Linked DNA regions of Lytechinus pictus. The protein of the gene in region 2 interacts with the protein of the main gene of each other region in a pairwise test. Links are inferred from orthologs where the notes say so. Each region holds a gene or a part of one and is shown on either strand. Other genes may lie near its edges.

Region 1 (8,144 bases), on a different chromosome or scaffold from region 2:
CCTATTAATTTTATTGTAGCCCATTTAGCTTAAGTTAGGGCTCAAAAGGCTACAGAAAACGAGTATTGGAGCAACATTGTTGTCTCAAAAAACTCGGTTTGTGTGGGCCAATGCTATCACGTCCCAGGCTCCATGGAGAGTAAGCCTACGTCAGTAAAATGACTTTTACTCTCCAGAAGCCCCGGGGGGGGGGGGGGGGACTCAGTATATAATGCATATAGTGGGTATTTGCTGCGGAGGGGACCCCCATTTTTACACTCAAATTTCTGTTCCAAGGCATAGCATTTTTGTCTTATTGAGAAAAAGAACAAAGAAAGCCGCTCCAAAGCATAGCATTTTCTTCTTATCGAGAAAAAAGAAGAAAAAAATCCGCTCCAAAGCTTCGCATATTTTCTGTTACGCCGTTCCGGCCGCATTGATCTGCTACAATGATCCGCAATTTTTGTGAAAAGCGGCCGCAGAGCGCTGTCCGACCATCGCCTCTGCGCTAGCGCACCCGGCGCCCGTGCCGCCGGGCTAGCTGCATGCACGTTCCATAGGGATGCACACGCACTCACATGCAGGCGACCCGTTCCAAGGACCCCCGTTTTCACAAACATTTGTAGTTCTGAAGCCCGTTCCGAGGACCCTACTTTTTACAAAAAGCCCGCTCCAAGGCCCCCGTTTTTTTGTCTCGCCAGCGGCACTTTCCTACTAATTTTTTGGTCGAGTATGGCAGTGTATCCTATTGCCGGACACCTTTATTTCAGTGCTTTAAAAATGACAACTAGAGGAAATACAATCAAGAAAAATTCACACTTGTTATTCCAAATATTATGAAAATTATGAATATGATAAAATTATTTTATATTTACCAACCATTTTCTTTGCATCGCACTTGCCGCATACCCCTCCACAAAAAACAATTATTTTTGTGCGCGACAAATTACATCATGATTCCGGACGCGCGCCGGACAGGTAAAGATATCCTTGATTATAATGATGTAAGAACAAATTTGTGTGATTTTTTTCTTCTTATATCATATCATGAGTAAATTCTAAGTTTTTATTTGCTTTTATTATATCGAATCTGAGCAGATGTTAGTAATAATTTCGTGTTTGATACCTTATTTTATTTTTTTTTGTTAGCTGCATGTTCCATGGCACTTTCCAATAACAATATGCTCGCGTTCGTATCGTGACGCTCATCAAGTCTTATCGATGCGCTGCCGATCCACGGCTCTACTCACGGTAAACCTCGCGCATGGGTACCTTGAGAACTAGCCGTCGACGATTACCCACAATACACCACACCTCATCATTCGATCTAAGGAGTGGACGAGATTGAAATTCGGCAAATCAGGCCCATATTTCCGTTAGAAAATATATCAATTGTTAATGCAAAAATTTCGCAAAACTATGATATTTTAAGCACTTTCTGTCATTTTAGAGATAAATAAGGTAAACTAAAAGTTGGATTTTTTCGCCTTGTTTTTGCAATCTTCATGATCTTGTTCTATGTATTGCTCTGTGAAATTGAATTGCGGAAGTACAAAATTGTTTTCGAACGCAGTAATATGCGCGTCCGGAATCATAATAGTGTCCGGTAATACAATACGCGACTATACCCCCCCCCCCCCCCCCCCCCCGCCAGTAGCCTCCAGGCTAGACAGCTGGCAGCCGTCTGTTTCGAGAAGTTTTTTAACTTTTTTTTTTTTTTTTTAATTTCTCCTCGTACACAGACGGCTCGCTAGCGTGCAGCCACCATTAGGGGACTTGCAATGCAAAATCCCCCCGTCGGGGCTCTTCAATTTTTGTCTTTAATGAATAAAAATTTTGAAAATTAACGCGACCAAAATGCAAATTAATATTCCCTCTTGGCATTAATTGCCAAAAAACTGAGAAAAATCAAGTTAAAAGGAACAAAAACAGTGACTTACCTCGGCTGTCGCGCAAATTCACTTCCCCGTTTTATCCGATCTTAAGTACATAAACATATGGCCATTGAGTCCCCTGTACAGATCGCCCTAGAACTTCGGTCTCTGTATTTGGTGAGTGAAGCCAACGGAGTTCAGCTGAACAACCAACATAACAGAGACCGAAGCTTTTGGTCTACCTCCAGGCCCGGGGGGGCCACTTACATTGACGAGTGGATACCATGCGCGACCAAAAAAACACGTAAAAAGGATGTCTTTTTCACGATAGGGCACGTTACGTACGTAACGTGATAAGGGTGTCAAAAACACAAAAATAATGAAAAAAGGGTATCTATTTCGCTAGGAAAATTACTTGTTTAGGGTCGAATTTGCGGGGATGATAAAACAAAATTAAAATGTTTAATAAAGGATGTCCTTTTTGCCCCAACACTTCGTGTTTAGAGTCCGATTTGCGCGAGGTGTAGAAGGTGGGGTCGTACTAAACCAAATAAGGTAAGACGAAGACCGAAGGACCCGTAACAATAAAACATTCCTGTACTTGTTTAGGGGTTCATTTCAGGAAATATTTGCCAAGAGTATCGTTTTATTTCCAATACTTGTTAAGGGTAGGGTTTAGACGCCCATAGTATATACTTGTTAAGGGGTGCATTTTCAGAATATGGAAATTACGTGTTTAGGGTGCTTTTCGAGACCACATGGTCGCGCATGGTATCCACTCGTGAATGGAAGTGGCCCCCCCGGGCCTCCAGGCTAGCTGCGACTCAAAGTCAAACCATACAAAAAGATACAGTAACTAACATAATAACGAACATATGGGACCATATACGTTCTTCCAGAGCTCCAGAAATATGACAAACTAAAACTTCCGACAATAAAAAAGAATTCTTGTATTCCAAGTATCATACATCGTAGTATGAAAGTAATACAATTTGTCCATTAAGTTACAAATTACTTACACCTTTTGAAGCCAGTGAAAATGGAGGTTCTAAATGACGGTCTTCTTGTCTCACAACTTTCCTTTCGATGATCGAATGATGATGAATCAAAATAAACACGACGTCATATCATGCTTGCCACTATCTCTGCACGTGGGTTCAGACGGGTGGGGGTGGAGTGGGCTCTTTATAAACTCTCCCCAAGCAGCCCCTTTGGACATCTAAAGGCGACCGCACACCTTACGATTGGTCTGCGACCCGATTTCAGAATAAATGTAGTAGAATTTGATGCTAATACTGAGACTTGGAATATCTTACTTTCTAATGTTCTAAATCATCGTACAAATACCTTTGTTCAATCTGTGACTATGCTATCATCCTTCTTAAAATAAAAGCGAATTTAATATCTAGTCGTAATGACGTCATCGCAGTCGTACGATTGGCTACGATTTCAAACTAATTTGGCCTTTACTCCAAAATAAAGGCTTGCAATCTTTCAAAATGGTTATATTAGCATTCTTTCAATTAATTTTAACCTTAAATAAAATGATATGTTCCATTCACATTTTCAGAAAATGAGCAAAATGCGATTTGTTCCAAAATCGGATCGCGAACAGTCGTAAGGTGTGCGGTGGCCTACACACACTCAGTATACTTCTTTCTCTATTTCCTTCTACCCACCCCCCCCCCTCCTTAAAGGGGAATCCAGCCTTGGCCATAAAATGTTGTGTTGGGAAGAAGAAAAATAAATTTAACAGAATGGTGAAAGTTTGAAAGAAATCGGACAAGCAATAAGAAAGTTATAGCTGCTTTAAAATTGAGATCACTAATACTATGTAGATTTCAAATTGGCAACTGAGTAAGTAAATTATGACAAGGGGCAAGGACAACTTTCCCATAGGCCATGTACTTTATTATCAGGGATTTGTGGTTTTCTCCTAAGTACCCATTTCCCTGGGGCAGTAATCTAACTACAACCCAGATAGTATATTGTTTTATGTCCTCATGAAAGAAAAATATAATTTGAAATAAAACTTTTGGAAAAAATGACATTTTAGCCATAATGTGTATTGGAGTACATGGAAGAGTAGTCCTTGCCTTACATCACTATGACATCCCATATGCGGCCAATTTGAAGTCTCCATGGGTATAGTGATTACCAATATTTACAATTTTTAAAAATTCACAACTTTCTTGTTGTTTGTCCAATATTGTTAAAACGTTCACCTATCAACTTATCTGATTTTTCTTTTCCTTATAAAAACAAGTTTTTGTTTGGGTTGGATTCCCCTTTAATAAGTCAGATTGTTTGACTCCTATTATGCATGCCAAGTCCTCTTAAAAAAAAAAAAAAAAAAAAAATCGTTAGGCCTATACCTCCTATACCTACATCTGTGTTCTCTCTTTTTTGCCAATGTGTTGTGTTTTTTTCATTCATCTCCCCCTCTCACATTCTTGACTTTACAATTATATGACGTACTAGGCCCCTCCCACAACAACGTCAAAACCTGCAGTCAGGCAATTTTCTAATTGGTACAAGCTGGATCTGGAGCCCCATTTCATAGAGTTAACTTTGTTGCCATCCCGGGTCGCCATTATGGCAACAGGGCTCAGCAGCCAATCAAAATCAAGGTTACCATGGTAGTTGCCATTATGGCAAAGTTACAACGGTTGTAAGTCCTTTATGAAACAGGCCCCTGTTCAAAACTAAAGAAAAATAATACTTGTGTAAATGATTTCATAATCATAAAAAAATATAGCTAAGCTTAGCGAAGCTGGAGAATAATTTTGACAAATACTCGACATATGTAGGGGCTCCTGGCCTTTAGACTGGTTTCTTGAAAAATTTCATCAGTGTGAGATTGGAAACATTCCACAGAAAATTTTGTTGATTATGTAACAACTTGTTTATGGGTCTCTCCTCCTCCTGCCTTCCAAAATATTCAAGTTTCATCTCTCATATAAGTTCTCTCACTATCATCGTCATTTCCATTCTTCTATATCTTCATGGGTCCCGTTTCATAAAGAGAATATATAACAAATGCTCATCTTTTATAAAGAATACACTATCAGCCAATCAGATTGAAGGATTTCAGTAGCTTTTAACTGTTAATGTAAGTTTACTTTACCACAAACACATTAAAGAAAATTATGAGACATTATGAAATATTGTTTTTGCGGTTTATTCATGTCACTATTAAAAGCAACAGATGCACATAAACACAAGTCCATATTACATTCATATTTTGTACTTTATATATCTATTTCATATTTTTGACAACAAAGATTTAAAAATTAAAATGGAGATAATAGATAAGACATGATTTGATTAAGATTCCATACAAAAATACTCATGATTTTGATGTAAAATGTCATCATAATTCGCTCACCAAAGATGAAAAGAGAGAAAGTTTTACCATGTTTGCCAGGATAGATCAAGGTTTAATAAGAAAAACTAGAGATTAAAAAAAAATAATGCTTCTTGAAAAAAAAAGAACCAACAAACCCTTGAAAGTAGTTTACCATACATGTGTACATATATTATCTTAACATTAGTCTGGGAAAAACAAACAATAAGTATCAATTTTATGAAGAAAACTGTGATATTGTAACAAAGGTACAAAACCTACCATAAGTGATTATTATTACTTAGGTTTAATCATCATTCAGATTGCTATAGTATGTATCTTCACATTCACTCAAACTGGTATTAATGTATTTCATTATAGTATCATTAATACTGTTTTAAAGTTTACGATCATGTAGTACATAAATACTTTTATTTAGAATGATTGATAGTGTGGAATGACCTATATTAAAAAAGAACATTGGTATGATGACCATAACACATCAATGGATATCCCCTTTTCATTTTTAAATGTATACCAAATTTTAGTTTTCAAAGATGGAATATCTAATTTACATACATTTCATGCTGAAATCAAAAGTAATAAAAAATGTCACCAATGACGAATAATACAGGAAAAGTGAACAGAATTTTCTATACAAAGAGTGAACAGCATTATGCTTCATCGTAAAACAACAAAAGATTGACGTGGAACATACATGTACTTTTTGCATAGCATAGCATTTTAAAAGGAATACCAATAAAAGATCATGTATTATTACCCTGGTATTATACTCAACATGTATTTGGACATACATAACAAGAGATCTATTATCAAATTTTCAGGAATATCATCCCCCGTGATCAAAGCTGGTATTGACTTATCTTATTCCTTTACCATCTCCACTCCCTGGGGAGCATTTTGCAACATTTATTCTTAAATAGGGACCACGAGATCTAATTTCAAAGCCATTAAATACCAAGCGATTCAATTCCCTGGGGAACATTTTGACCATTTTATCCTGAAAGGATCTCCACACTGAGCAAATCCAATATTATCCTCGAGAAAATAAATTATGGAGAAACAAGATTATAAAGACCACTCTGGGACAAAAGAAGACTTGTATTTATGTCAGATGGTATTTATGGGCAAAAGTATGGTTGCAAGAGAAACCATGTTAAAGAGAACTGTAAATGGTGACAATGTGACCATTAAATAAAGGTGACAGGTCGTCATTGGATGTAAAGAATATTTGATTGTATGTAATTATAGGCATCTTACCCTGACATAAAGAAAATAATCTTACTAGATATCTATTCATGTTGTTGTACCCATAATGTACATCTATTTAGTTTAATCTTTCTCTGTTTGGAAAAGTATGAGAACAATGTGTATATATCATCTTATATCACAAAAGAGTATAAAGCATTACTTTTTTATCAATGCATAAGAAATATATTGGTAAAAATAAAACCACAAACAATTTGGTGTACATGTTAATGTTCCACCTTCAAAGATGACAAACCTATTTTTCTATGATTTCCGAAAGATTTCTCTTAAATGAAAAAAAAAATTAATAACATCTATTCTTAAAATTTAGCCAATGTTCTATGAATAATACATGATCTATAAAAATGACATGATTTAATGCACTACTATTCCACAGTATAGCTGGTTAGATCTCAGAACAATTAAACAGTACCACTACTGTGTTAACTTTGATATCAGTACTTTCATACAATTATTCATTCAATTAAAAGAAAGGTGTCCACCCACCTCATGATAGGAAAAAAGGCCCATCATTTATAAGAATCATCAGAAACTAAAGGAAGCTATAGTTTTCTGGGATAAGTTGTAGATTCTCAGAGCGATATTTAAGATTACATTACATATTACATTATCTGGCCATCTAGCCAAGAAAATTATTGCTATGTAATCAAATATCTTCTTATAAAAAAGAAAGGAAATCTCAATATTCTGGGCAAGTGAGTTGGATTTTAGAGTAACAAGGTTGATTCTCATTTTGCTCATCATGATCAACAACAAAACATTTCACCATCTTTATTTGAAAGGAAAAATAACCTATCAGATTGTGAGACAACGAAACAGTTTTTAAAGTTGCATTGCAGAGATGACTCTGCAACTGTATTTTGATGTTTTATATTCTTGAATCTTATCTTGATATATAAAGACCAGAAGAATAAGTCTCTCTGTTCGAGTTTTGTCGCATAGAATCTACCACTTTCATTAACAAGCTGATCTAAAATGAAATATTTTGTGTTTTTCATTCCTCATTTGAATATTTAATACTCTTAAGAAAGCTGTGTAGCTCTATCAACTCACATCAGGAAGAAATGAGGGGGGAAGATACAATAGCTGAAACAAATATTCATAAAAATAATCCAACATAATTAAAATACTATTTGCGGTCTGAAACCAATTACCATGGAAGAAATATTTCAATTGAATTTCATCATTCAATTTTTTTTTTCTTTCCCTGAAGTGTCAAAAAAGCGAATCAGTGCTAAAAACCTGGATATTGAGTTGAATGCAACCCTCGTCCATGTTCATCTGATAACATACAGTAATTAAGTGTGTTTATGTATTATTTTTGCATGTATACATGTATACTGTTGTCAGTTAGAGTCTTCATGTTTTATCTCATAGAGGTAGAGATATGAGGGGATACACAACTTCAAGTAAAATTTTACAATGAAACTGTACACTGTGACTTTTATCACATTATGGTTAGGAAGCAAAGTATAAGAACAATAGACATCTCATATGACAAAGGAAACAGGTGACATTTCATAGAAACGTACAACTGTTGTAACTTTGACATTATTTAACTACCATGGTAACAAGGCTCAGCAGCCAATGACAATCAAGGTTATAATGCAAAGTTACAATACTTGCAAGTGTAATGGTAGAGGAAAAGAATAAAA
Region 2 (7,319 bases):
CCTATACTGACTGGAAAAAACTACCGGTATTCACAAAAAGCCGAGTGAGTGCGAGGATTTGAGCTCAGTCACAGGGCCTTTAGGAACCCGATTTGGATTTCTTATGTTAATCATTGTTTCCGAATCGGAATCAAGAGGTAGCGGCCAATCAGCGAGCGTATTGCTCGCATCAATGAACCCCGTGTGACCCTGTGCCACAGAAGCGAACAAACCCATCCCATGATGTCATAGACACCGACGGTGCGGATTGGCGCATCGGCTGCATCAGCATGCTCATGAATAATTCATATATTCACGTCTTCACCAGATTCCAAAAGGCCTCGCGACTAAAGTCGCTCGCTCTCGCACTCACTCGGGTATCACCAGTTCTCTTCGACGTCCGCTATTCTAGTTTCATCCACTGCTTTGGCAAGGAATAGAGCCAAGTCACGAGGCCTTGTTAAAAGGCTATGTCATCTCAGGATTGTCCAGTTATTAAAAGCTCATTTAAAATTTCCCCCTTATTTTCCATTGCTGCAGAGAGTAGGCCCATACATGTACCTTTGCTACAGCGTACAATTCTCCGTTTTTTACAGGCCCAATGCATATGTTTGATGTATGGATGTACATGTATGTTCAAAAGTTACACAGAAGTTTTGTGGAGATGTAGCAATAGTGGTACATGTAGCCTACTCGACTTGTATGTGAAGCTCGTAGGTATAGTTTTCAAAGGAAAGTGATACTAGGGATCTCCTTTTACAAGGTACATACATCGGTCCCAATTATACCCACTCCCCTTCCCCTTTTGTATCTGTTTCATGTTCATATCATATGCACATATGTATACATGGAGGCCTGCTTTAATACAGATTGTTGCGGTCATAAACCCCTGCATCACAAGACAGACTTGAACTCATGTTATGGAGCCATGGCCCTCTCCACACAAGTACCTGAATTTTTTAATCCCTTATCAGATTTCAGGCTCTTTTAAGTACTGAGTAAACACAGACCATATTTCCTGTTCAGTGTAATATTCCTATTAGGAAAAAAATCCTGCCCTCCCAAATGTAAACTCATTCAGAATATTACTTGATGGTTTTATGACTGCATTGCTGTCTTCTTACCCCACATATCCAAAGACAAGCTGTCTAGCCAAGCATTGATATAGAAGGATTAATGATTGAAATATCAATGTTTGTGAGATTAAAGACCTTGTTCGTCATATTGAGAATTGAGAATTGAGAATTGATTTTATTCTGTCCATTTAGGAAAATATTCTTGTTGGCATTTACATATACACAGAAATATACAAAATCAAAGCGTAAAGATGAATTCTACAGAATATATATACATCACACATATTTGAAGAAAAATACATAATACAAAATAATTTCAATCAAATCGGTAACATTTTACTCTTAATCATCGTTATTATTAATATAATTATCATTATTATTATTATCAATCTTATTATTATCATTATGATTATTATTATTAATTGTATTATTATTATTATTATTATTGTTATTGTCATTGTTATTATCATTATTATTATTATTATTATTATTATTATTATTATTATTACTATTATTATTATTATTAATATTGTTTCTATTATTACAATTATCAATAATCAATCATTACTATTATCATTATCATTATTACAGGATATACAGAAAAAAAAAACATACAAAGAAATACAACAAACTACATACAGTCATACAAATAAGGGGAAAATACATAATATAAAATAATTTCACTCAAAATCGGTACAACTTTGCTCTTAATTATTGTTATTGTTATTTATTTTCAATATCATTATTATCATTGTCATTATCATTATTATTAATATTATTATTACTATTATCATTAATATAATTTTCCTATCATTATTAATTATTATTATTATTATTATTATTATTGTTATTATTATTATTATTAATTATCATTATCATCATTATCATTCATCATTATTATCATAATCATCATTATAGATAGACAATTGCTCATTCAATGCTTTCATTTCAGTCGATAGTATCAGGGTAATATTAGTAAATTGTATACATGTGTGAGAATATAGTAGGTGACTGACGAAGTGGCAAGATTACAGGCTTGATTGAAGTTGTTCGTTGTATTTTCGAATGGAGAGCGGCACAAAAGAATGAAGGAAACGCGATGTTCGAGCCCTCATTGATCTATACCGCCTTCCAGATCGCATTTGAATATAACATGAGTGGAGGGGGTGGTCCTTATTTTGTATGATCTGTGAGGCCTGTTTCAAGATTGCTTGAACGCATTCATTGGTCACATTTGCCACTTCTCCAGTAATCTTCCCAGCACAATTGGCTATTTTCTGCAATTTCTTCATGTCTTCTTGTCTGCACCCTCCGAACCAGACAACACAACTGAAAAGCATAACACTTTCTATCACTGATTTGTAGAAAAGCTTTAACAAAATTCTATCAACATTGAAAGAATTCATTTTCCGAAGAAAGTATAATCGTTGTTGGGCCTTTGTATATAGAGACTGACACTGATCCTTCCATGAAATTTCACTATCAACTATAGTACCCAAATACTTAAAGTTGTTAACATTTTCTATAACCTCTCCTTTGAACATAATATAGAAAGTCATATTCTCATTAAGATATAAAAAAAGGAGTATTGCTTTCAAGGTATGTCACTTTTATTGTGTGAGACACACTAACCTCTATAGTCGACCCATTCTCATTACAAGAATAACTGTATTCTGCTTCAAATACATGTACATGTACTGTACCTCTAGAGTTGACCCCATTCTCATTACAAGATTAACTGTATTCTGCTTCAAACATATACATGTAGGCCTACTGTATACATGTACATCTATGCTATCTGTTCTAAAATGCTCCATGTAGAAGCCACGGAAGTTGAACTGTCTTATTGCTATTGACAATTTTTTATGTCTACCGGTACTTATTAAGTTTTAATAGATACTGTAATACTTGACATACTTGATTGTTCTTTATGCAAGCCATAGCCTTGATAATCTGATTTGGGATTTTCCGCTCACATAATGAGCCTTTTCACCACTCTCTGTGGACCATTCAAACAAAGAGTTCAGAGCTCGAAAGCATCGCATTCAACATTCATTGGCTTTCACATCCTTTCATTTCTTAAACTTATCAACATTTTAAAAATATGATTGCTGCTTTTAAATGAATGCTCTATCTTGGTACATGTAACTAGGAAGCAGATTCTCAAATAATTATACCAGTAACTGTTTGCGGACATCCCATATCATTGTTGATTTGATTACATACACGTTTAAAATGAAATAAGAAATTACGACTTCATGGTTTTGTGAAGCATCTCATCGAATGCATGACTACCGTTTTTGCCGGATGTAGCAACAGCATAGGCCTATTGGCAGACTGGATTCAGGGAAGTGTAATTCATCCATTAATGGGTTAAAAAGAATTACTTGATTTTACAGGAAATATCAGAAATCAAAGTGAATCAGAATATATCATTGTCTATTCGGCCTTCAAAGTAAAACCTTGGACAATTACTTATGTTTGCTAACTGTTGCCAAGGAGGTACTATTGCCTTGTTCTCACTTTACGTTTCATTGATGGTATTGGTTTGGCCTGCATATGTCCTACTTTCACTGAAACCTACTTAAAATATAGGCATTGTAATGGCTGCTTTGGGAGTACGATTCATGGGTCATTGTCAGGGTCATAAATAAAAGAAAGGGACAGACGGCTATGTTAAAGGGAAAGTGAGAAACTCTTGTGGGAAATGACAATTATCATATTTTAGAAAGAATATCATCAAAGTTCTGAGGTACTTGTACTCTGCAGAGGATTGCTTCTCAGATGCCCGATATTTAGGGTGTGACCTAAAACAGCTGACATTTTGGGGCCATAACATCTGTGTGTAGTCCCATTCATGTATTTCTGTGTGCCATTCATGTTTGAATCTCAGCAGATTTCAGTCATTTTCTCTGATTCCCAAATCTTGCAGTATGCATGAATCCTTGGGTGCATACATATGTACATTTAGTCCAATCACTTTGAGACAGCTGTTTCCATGGTTCAATCTCATGACCAGAAATGATGCTCATTTTACATCGGTTGAGAGCAAGAGCGATCACTCATTGATGTTATATTTCCTTTTTAAGTTATTGTAAGTGCTTTGGGAGCAGAATTATTCTTTGTTATTCTATAATGTACAGCACTTTGGGCATATTACTATGGAAAGATGCTGTAATTGTCAAAATGTACATGTATGACATTGTATGTCTTTATACAGTAGTTCTAAGCCTGCTTTCGGTTTGTACAGGCATTGTGTACTACATGTAGTTTGTAAACACTTCAAATTGACCATCAGTTATTTTGTACTGAGCGGTATGGTGTGCAACATTTGGCATGTCTGAAACTGAATTGATGAAAAATTGCTTGTACCATGGAGCTATGTGTTTTATAGCTCCATGCTTGTACCTTCTCCGCAGTAATTGTGTTATATGTTTGCATTCTTGAATGTACACCATGAAGATGCTGCTTCATGTATAACTGTAGTGCTAACCTTATTGTTCTTGTGTCCTACATGTAGAACCTAGTTTGGTGCCAGTTACAGTATGAATTTAATTTCAAGAAAATAATGATGCAAAAGCAGATATATTATTGTCATTGAATTTTATTCTCTTTTAATTCTTAGAATTTAGAATCAATGTGTAAATGATCAATTTTTTAGTTCACTGCTTTTAATGGCAGCAGGACAATATGAGTGTGGACTTTTCTGAGAGGCTTTAATACAAAGTCCTAACATTTTAAATTTACTCTTGTCTCTGTGAACAGGAGGGGGGGGGGGTGGATTGACCTCACACTTGTTGCAATCACCCTGATCTTCCTTCCACTTTGCATGAATTTGTGCATCCTCCATCCACAACCTAACATTCTTGCTCTCTCCATTTTGCTCCTTCGATGACATTTTGGTCTTTCCCTCCACAAACTGCCAAACTCATACCCCATTACCCTTTTTAAGATATGCTCGTCAAACTTGAAAACCAGAAATCTGAACAAACACTACTTCAATAAATGTTTTATTGTATTTATTGAATACATATCAATATATATTTTTTCTCTTGCATTCTTGTTTTCTTTTCTGCAGGGTTACCGGATCCCTTTGCCAAGGTAGTGGTTGATGGATCAGGGCAGTGCCATTCTACAGACTACTGCAAAGGAACTCTCGACCCAAAATGGAACCAGCATTATGATTTGTGAGTAATTCAAGCATGACTGACATTTTCCATCTTTTCCCTTTTATATTATGGAGTGCTTTGAGAGGCATGGTTGTTTCTAGAGGCTCAAGGGGACCGCAACGCGACTATGCCCGAGGGCATGGTCTGGCAGATGCGGTACCTGCGAGCCGAAAGAAACAACCGTGTCTCGAATATAAAAGCAGTCCATATATATTTTATGAACCAAATTAAATGTTAGATCTAGCCTAGGGCCTAGTATATAAAAAAATTCTAGGTCTAGATCTTAAACAAGTTAGGCCTAAAAAGCCCTAGATCTAGCCTTTCTAGGCCCCAGGCTAACGTTAGGCCTAGATCTAGGCCCTAACTTAGCCCTTCAGCTGACGTTAGGTCTCGAAGTCGAATATCAAAGCAGTCCATACCGTTAGTACTAGGTCTAGATATTTTAGGAACCAAATTAGGGTCTGAATAGATCTAGACGAGATCTAGTCCAATGTTAGCAGTCTTTAATCTCCATTAGAGTCTAAATCTAACATTAGATCTCGACTATGTCAGATCGAAATTAAACGGAACATTAGCCTAGGCCATCTAGATCTCGAGTCTACTCTTAACTTCTAAGCTAAAGTTAGATCTAACAACATTACCGGTACCTAACGCATCGTTGTTTGGCATACGGGCAATTCCATGGAAAATGTTCACTTTCGAGAAAAAATGAAGTTTCAGATTTCACTTAAGCAGTCAAATTTTCTTAAAAAGTAATCTATAAAGTTTCAATTTCCAATAGAAAAATCACAATATTGATAAAATTTTGTGTTTTTTTCCATCATCAAAAAAATAAAATAATAAATTGCAAAATATAAAAAATGTGGCTATTTTTAAACAATTCATCTTTCCTGTCTCTACTAAAAGCAAATAAGGTCCCACAGGTCTCTTTTAACTTTTGTATCGATGATTAATGTTTAAATCAACAGAAAATCATTGTTATATTTCATGCCATTCATCAATTTTAGAGAAATCGATCTTCAGATTAATGTGATTTCTTTACCATTATCAGTGTCATGTCCGTTACGTTTTTCACTTAAAGTTTTCACAGCTTACAGGAAATTTGTCTGAAGGTACTGCAGATTCAGATTCTATGTTAGAATTAAACCCCCTACCATGTGTAGCAATCATTTTCCCTGACCACTTCTCATTTTCATAAAAATGGCGTAACGGACATGACACCTAATATATGACAAAAGGCAGCATTCACAAAAACAAAATATTAGGCTCAGTGTCACAGACTGTGGTCAGTCTCAATTGCTTGAGGATAGCTGGATGTAATAACTCCTAGAATCTGCATGTCATTCTAGCTATTTTTAGAAGTTGGTAAATGATGAAAGTTCAGCTCTTGTTCTGGTATATTTTTCTGAGAATTAACGGTATGCCACATAATATTAGGATAAGATGCAGCTAAATCTGGCAACATACTCAGATCACAATCTGCATCATTTGTGTTTGAACAATAATTGATTATCTTAGGTGTTTGCACTGACAGTTTGGAGCATGATAAAACTCCAACTTGTGAATTCATGAGATCTTTGATGACATTGCTTCAAAGTATCTGACTTTCACCAACCCTCAACTTCTTCAGTGATGGCACTGGCTCACATTTAAAACAAGTTTGTAAATATTCAGATATCTGTGTTACATGATGTAGCTCTATGAATCCATGAATCTACAGTGGCACTTCTTCATATCACAAAGCAAAGAGGCTGTGGAAGGAATGTGGCGCGATCAATAAATTATGTCATCATAGTATTTTGGTCAGCCATAATCATGATTTGAATGATGTATCTTCGTTTGTACACAAGCAGCGCAGACAATACAATGAAATTAGATACAGCCACATTTGTCAGCAAGCAAGATCGTAAGATTTAGTACATCCAAGATTTGATGAAAGGATGATTATACCAAGGATCTTTATTTTGAATGAAAAAAATCTCAGAAGCGATTTACAAACATTCCGATTACCTTATAACTCGTACATAATCGATAATGAAAGACTGGTTTCCAGGTACTGCTATTAAAATTTAAAATACTTTTTAATATCATTTTT

What was found.
Region 1: the proteins of E3 ubiquitin-protein ligase SMURF2-like (region 2) and spartin-like interact in a two-hybrid assay, tested with the Homo sapiens proteins (2 studies listed by BioGRID and IntAct). The link is inferred for Lytechinus pictus from reciprocal best matches to the Homo sapiens genes SMURF2 and SPART.

The regions. Positions count from the first base shown.
Region 1 is NW_026974140.1:18,553,347-18,561,490, forward strand, and holds the start of spartin-like, read right to left. Parts: upstream 3,248-8,144; 5' UTR 2,875-3,247; intron 1-2,874. UniProt on the Homo sapiens protein: Lipophagy receptor that plays an important role in lipid droplet (LD) turnover in motor neurons.
Region 2 is NC_087254.1:29,867,237-29,874,555, reverse strand, and holds the start of E3 ubiquitin-protein ligase SMURF2-like, read left to right. Parts: upstream 1-4,216; coding exon 4,217-4,229; intron 4,230-5,133; coding exon 5,134-5,242; intron 5,243-7,319. UniProt on the Homo sapiens protein: E3 ubiquitin-protein ligase which accepts ubiquitin from an E2 ubiquitin-conjugating enzyme in the form of a thioester and then directly transfers the ubiquitin to targeted substrates.